2 linked regions of the Saccharomyces cerevisiae S288C genome follow. The protein of the gene in region 2 interacts with the protein of the main gene of each other region in a biochemical or structural test. Each region holds a gene or a part of one and is shown on either strand. Other genes may lie near its edges.

The links.
Region 1: the proteins of PEX3 (region 2) and INP1 form a complex in vitro, tested with the Saccharomyces cerevisiae proteins (4 studies listed by BioGRID).

The regions. Positions count from the first base shown.
Region 1 is NC_001145.3:669,563-672,878, forward strand, and holds INP1 (Inp1p), read right to left. Parts: upstream 1,764-3,316; coding exon 501-1,763; downstream 1-500. Other genes in the region: TOM complex pore protein TOM40, read left to right, coding at 1-93; PFK2 (6-phosphofructokinase subunit beta), read right to left, coding at 2,325-3,316. UniProt on the Saccharomyces cerevisiae protein: Required for peroxisome inheritance.
Region 2 is NC_001136.10:1,125,770-1,129,566, forward strand, and holds PEX3 (Pex3p), read right to left. Parts: upstream 1,827-3,797; coding exon 501-1,826; downstream 1-500. Other genes in the region: SCF ubiquitin ligase subunit SKP1, read right to left, coding at 1-249; DNA protein crosslink repair co-factor UBX5, read left to right, coding at 2,103-3,605. UniProt on the Saccharomyces cerevisiae protein: Involved in peroxisome biosynthesis. Acts as a regulator of MSP1 by inhibiting the ability of MSP1 to unfold target proteins.

The DNA of each region.
Region 1 (3,316 bases), on a different chromosome or scaffold from region 2:
CAATTTGAAACTGCTGGTAATCAAGAATTACTAATGTTACAACAAGGTTTAGACGCAGATGGTAACCCATTGCAAGCTCTTCCTCAATTGTGAAAATCTTCCCTTGGCTTTTTTATGGTTGAATAAATAATCATTGTTTTTATCTTTCCTATGCTTTTTTTTTATTAATTTGTGTAACGACTTCTCCCTCCAGCATACGCTCCCAGACTTTTTTGTTTTTGTTTTAATATAAATAATTATGTATATACGTGGGCACCAAGTTGAGGGGGAATTCCTTGTTTATAGTTATGATACGTCTCATATCCTTGTCCTTACTTTCACAATGGTCTAAAATAAAAGACAAGAAAACAAAACTGCAAATATATTAAATTCTATTTTTCTTTTTTAGAAGAAGCTATTAATAATAGATCAAATGTTCCAGCCATTTATATTCACATTGTATACTCCTTCACTTTGGTTTACACCTACATTCATTTGTGCAGTTATGCTTTGAACTTCATTCAAAGGTCGCCAAGACCAGATATGGATCTCCTCTGAAATCTTCTATGCCTGTCCTGCAGATACGGGGGAGAGTCGATAAAAGGGTATGAACTATATCTTTTGTTTTGCTGTTTCGAATGAATACTTGGGGCTGCTATTGGAATATTCAGTACAGGAGCGGTTCGTCTGATAGCATTTTTGAAAGCTTCATTTATGGAGATTGACACGGCATCGGTAGGGTCGCTCGGATAGAGAAAGCTTGCATTTAGATTAGAGCAAGTGTTCGATATCACGGAGAAGCTATTATCTGTACATCCTTGTTCGTATTCTTCATCCAGCAAGTAATTAAGGTCGTCATCATCATAATTATCATCATCATCATCGTTATCATCATCATTATTAATTATTTCAGTATTGGGGGGCTCTATGTCCGAAGTAGGCGGCAGTTTGAATTTATCGCTCAAAGACTCATTATTCCCAATAGTAGCTCCTTCATTAATATGCGAAAATTGGCAAATTTTGCTAATGACGTTTTCAAAAGCTTTCACACTATTTTCCAACTCTGATTGGGATTGACTAATCAAAGGTAGAAATTCGATTTCCCAGTACCGTTCCGGATTATAAAAGCTAATAAAGTATTTGAAACCTGCGCCATTTAGCCTTGTTATTTGTAGTTTGGGTAGTACTGGATGCACAATATCACCATGTCGTCCTATCGATAAATAGTTTACTACATGCCCATCATGACTACTAGCTTTACTAGATTTTTGAAAGGGCGCTATATTTTCCTTTAACTTATCAAACCCTGTACATATCTGATATATTTCAATAGGTCCTTTTGCCATTAAAGATGTAGGTTTTAACTTAATAGTGTTTTGACTGTCTTGACTTTGCGTATCATTGAAGAATACTCCACTACTTTCAGTGACATTATTTGCGGATACTTGGGAATTTCTACGAATGCAACTGCTATTCGGAATATCATTATGAATGGGAACGAATGAATTCATAACCTGAACATTGCCATAGGTAAACAATGAAAATCTCTGAGTTGATATTCTTTTCCTTTGTGTTCCGGTTTTCTTCGAGGACGTGCCATTTTTTTTGGCTTTAACAGATTTATTTGTATCGTTTGAGTGTTGGGTCGAATCCTGTTTCAACTTTTTATTGTTGCTAAGTTTAAGTGACTGTTTTAAAGTTTGAAACGTAGATTGAGGTTTCTTTTCTTGTTTTGCCGTTAATCTCACGCTATTTTTCTTTGTTTCTCCCCTTGATAAAACCATACCACTTTGTTTAATTTCCTGAGAGTTATCAGACGAAAAATGTAGACCTTGTATCCTTCATAGGTGAAGGAATACTTCCTCCGTAATAAGGTAATTTAAAGTTCATAGTTCATTCACTCTTTTTGTTTACATCTCCGTTCTTCGTGATAAGTTCATAGATAATAAGAGAACAAAGTATTTAACGCACATGTATAAATATTGTATTAAAAGGGTACCTTTATAAATATGAGATCCGAGGGACGTTTATTGGAATTATCTTTTAAATCGTCTATATCACATATTCCAGTATACATAAGTTTTAATTTTAGAAAACGTTTAAATAAACAAAGAGAAAAAAAATAAGACACAAAAAATAACAGTATCTTTATTCTTGACATTCATAAAAATGCATGATAATATTGGTTTCATGGGGTAGTACTTGTATTATTAAAAGAAAGGAACAAAAAATTCATTGTTCAAAAGCTTAGAGATAAAAAAAAAGAATTATAGACACAAAAGAAAAACATGGGTTAACATTAATTGACATTAATAATAGAAAGTGTAATAAAAGGTCATTTTCTTTTAATCAACTCTCTTTCTTCCAACCAAATGGTCAGCAATGAGTCTGGTAGCTTGCCAGTGAATGACCTTTGGCATTCTCATGGAAACTTCAGTTTCATAGTCATACAATTGTCTAATGGAGTTGTAAACGACATGTGAACCCTTAACACCAACGACAGCAGCAGTGTCAGAAATGGTCTTGTCATCAGCGTTGAAGTTTTCTTCGGCAGCACGAGCTTCAGCAATGGCAGCTTGGTTGTCTTTGATGAAGCCGACAGCTTTAATGGCCATTCTAGTGGCTCTTGTTCTATCAATTGGAGATGGCAAACCACCTTGTTGTACATGACCTGGATAAGCTGGCTTAGCGTCAAATCTGCCATCGGCTTCAGCAGTAATAACTTCAGCCAATTTAGTGGCTGATAAAGCCTTAGAAGCGTTTGTACTCTTCAAAATCAATTTACCAAATCTACCTCTACCTTCTGCCTTTTCAAAAGATTGAGCTAAGTATTCAATATCCTCGGACAATTGCTCCAAAGAAATACCTTCTTCTGGGACATAAGAGACTTGAGCACCAACAGCCAAAGAAGCGTAAGTGGCCAAATAGCCTGAGTTACCACCTTGACAATCGACAACGAAGGCTCTACCTCTGGTTGAAGAAGCGGATTGTTTAACAACATCACAGTATTCCATTAGAGCATTCAAAGCGGTATCAGAACCCAAAGAGTATTCAGTACCTGGAACATTGTTAGACAAAGTAGCTGGTATCAAGACCATTGGGATTCTGAAAGCTGGATAACTTTCTCTTGCTCTCTCTAATTGATGTAAAGATTCAAAAGCTTCGAAACCACCAACGATGATCAAACCATCAAATTCGTACTTTTGGAAATAGTAAGCAATCATACCTAGATCTGCTTCTTCTGGAGTGACTCTGTTAGTACCGATTTCAGAACCACCACGGGATTGCCAACCCAACATATCCTTCCAGTTCAAAGAACGAACACTTTCATGTCTTG
Region 2 (3,797 bases):
CCGAACATTGGGCACGGGCATCACAATCTCGTCGTCATCCTCATCGTCGTCGTCACCGTTATTGTTGTCTTTGCTTTTGTGGTTCGTTTCCGAGTCTGAATCTGATTCTGAATCTGAGTTGTTTTGTAGGTTGCTGTCATGCATATCGTTCAGATAGTTTTTCAATAGCAGGGATCTCTCCGCGATTTTCTTGTCTACGGTGAATCGTTCACCCTCACCACTCACTAGGACAACATTAGAAGTCACCATATCTGCGCTACGTTTGTTAGTATTCCTGTATTGTTTATAACGTCTTTTCTGTTATATCTTTGCCAACGTTGGGCTATCACTTTCTCTGCCCTCAATATATCAACCTATTTCTTCCCTTTCTCTTCTTTTCTCCAAGACGCCCGTTAAATCGCTGCAGGGTAATGTCATGTTACCTATTGCACACTTACTGTATTAAAGATTACGCTATATATATATATATTCTGGTGTGAGTGTCAGTACTTATTCAGAGATTAAGGCTTGAAGGAAAACGAGCTGGAGACGCCAAAGTTGCTGTATACGCTGGCGCTCAGATCATCGAGCGGCTGCACAGAATCCAGAGTGGCCAGGTATTCGTTCACGCTGCCGCTATGGGAAGACCCGGCAGTTGTTTGAAGCATTTCTTGGCAACAGTCTTTCATCGACATAGCGAAAACTGCCATTTGATACTGTTGCTGATCTTCTTGGCCAGGTTTTTTCTTGGCTATTGTCTTTATGCCGACCTTGTTCATTATGAAATGGAATGATTCATTTATTAGAGACTCTAACACTATGGATGTTGCTGTGCTTTCGATACATTGGGTCAGTTCATTCACCAATTGATTAAAAACTAGTGTGTTAGAGTGAAAACTTGTTAAAGCATCCGCGTCAAGCGTCTGTGACAGAAGAAACTCCTGTCCACTGGAATCTTTAGGAAGCAAAATAGACGTGAGGTTATTATTATTTTGCTGGAATATTTGGGAATTCGTGTTCCGGAATATGTTCGTGAGACGAGAACTAAATTCTTCTAACGTTAGAGTATCTCTTGGGTGTATGCCGTCAAATTCAATTTCGATTTGATTTGTAATTATTTCATTGTAACTCAACCACCCCTTGTTAAGAATCCACCATGATAGTGATAGGAAAGCTTGCTCATTAATATACACTTCCTGGCCTTCTTTCTTTGACTTTTTTGCTGCCATTACCATTGCATCATCCGCTTTGTCCTCCGGATCGCTCCACCACGATGTAACCCAGTTATAGAACCTATTCTGTAGTTTGTTGCAGTTTTCCTGCTGCATGGTTAATTTTATTGCGGAGTCCAGGTACTCGTTTCTTGTCAGGATATTTAGTTGCAGTCTTGTTAAAAGAATCAGCGACGATACTGTGTACGTCACTGTCACCAGCTTGATCAAACTCTTTAGTTCTAACTCGTTCCACAACTCAGCTTTACTTTTTAACGGCGAACTTTCTCTGCTTTCACTAGACTTTGCTCTAGTCAACTGGTTCTTTTGGTCCTTTAATTGGGTAACGATGCTGTCCAAATTCAAATCGTTTTCATTCAAAACCATTCTCCATACAGGAAGTAGCTCGTATATTGTGTACAACGAGTCTTCCTGTGTCTGCTCGAACCTTCTTTTGATCTGTTCTTTGATGAAGTGTTGCTCAGTAATCCGTAACTGCTGTTTATACAACCATCTCTTCACGAAAAACACTACCACCGACCCTGTGGTAAATAAAGCAGCTATTCCAGTCAATGAAATGAGTACCTTTCCTCGATGTCTCTGCAGAAGCGAACGTGATCTTTGATTTGGGGCCATCCTTTTAGTGGTTTGCCTCCTTGTTTCGTGCTTCTGCTTTTACGATGACTAGTATTAACTACCTCAATAATATACCCCATGCTCATATAAGTCGAATAACGCCCTTATCATTACACACGATTACCAAAATGCAAGGAATTTTTAAGGAAAAAGGGAAATATTCATACATTCACGCAAACTCTACTACTTGTTAACGACATCTTAGCTATGATCGCTCAATAGTGTCACTACAAACGCATAGACTACGACGTGTGGCAATAATAACATACCTTTTATATGTCAGAGGGAAAAGTAGACGAATTTATGGCCATCACTGGCGCTGATGACGCTGCTATTGCCACTCAATTCATCGAAATGGCAGACGGGAACTTGAACACAGCCATATCATTGTTTTTCGAAAATGGTGGGGCTGCTTTACTGAGCAGTAACAACACACCTACTCCGTCTAATTCGACTCCTATGGCGCCCACCTCTGTAGATTCAGATGCCGATGCACAATTAGCGGAGAGGTTGCAAAGGGAAGCTTACCAACAACAACAGCCTGACCAAGATTATGTCAGGCCACCTGATGAGGCAAGACATGAAGTACTTACTGAAACTTCAGGATTCCCAATTTCTTACGGCGGCATTGGCGGAAGATTTGAACCATTGCATAGGGTGAACGACATGTTTGACGAAGGAAGACCTGAAAGCATTTTTAATCAACGATTGGATGACACAAATACTAATACATACATCAATGACAACTCTTCAGATTCCTTGGACTCCGAGGAAGAAAATGACGACGACGAATATGAGTATGTGGAAGAGCCGGTCATCGAACTTGATGAAGACGGCAATATCAAGGAGTACACCAAATTAGTGAGAAAGCCTAAAACCATTTCCAAGGAGCAGAAATTAGCTTTGTTATTTAGGCCTCCATTTTCAATCATGTCCAAACTCGACTTAGACGCTGCAAAGCAAAAGGCAAGGGCAAAGCAAAAATGGATAATGATTAACATTCAGGATTCAGGAATCTTCCAATGCCAAGCCCTCAACAGGGATTTGTGGTCGTCCAGACCGGTAAAAACTATAATCAAAGAGAACTTCGTTTTCCTACAGTATCAATATGAATCACGTAATGCCCAACCCTATCTTCAGTTCTATCACTTGAATAATAAGGATGATTTGCCCCATATCGCGATACTGGATCCAATTACCGGTGAACGTGTCAAGCAATGGAATAGGGTTGTTCCCATTCCAGAGCAATTCATCTCAGAAATCAACGAGTTTTTGGCCTCATTTTCGCTAGATCCAAAGGTCCCTAATCCCACGGTTAATGAACCTCTTCCTAAAGTGGATCCAACAACTTTGACCGAAGAGCAACAAATGGAATTAGCCATTAAAGAGTCATTAAATAATAACTCGAGCAAATCAAACCAAGAAGAAGTGCCGAGTACTGGCGAAGAACAGAAACGAGTACAAGAACCGGATCCATTCAGTACCATTGAAGCCAGGGTGCATCCAGAACCGCCAAATAAACCAGGGATCACTACAAGAATTCAAATTCGTACCGGTGATGGCTCCAGACTAGTTCGTAGATTCAATGCTCTGGAAGACACTGTGCGTACTATTTACGAGGTTATCAAGACAGAAATGGATGGTTTTGCCGATTCAAGATTCACACTAAATGATCACCAAAGAGAGGACTTGATTGATAAATTAAACATGACCATAGCGGACGCCGGCTTAAAAAATAGTTCTTTACTACTTGAGAAGCTTGACCCTGAAATAGAATAAACAAATTGTATGGTGGCAGGTACCTAGATGTAATTAGGTATGTAAGCACTTATAACACGACGGAAATACCCGGATATTGTATTTTTATTTTTTTCCCATTAGCACGCCAAACATAAGAAAAAACGCATACAAAGACGTAAAGGAATAGTTCATAGGTGTAAATACAAAATATATATCACATTTAAGCATAGC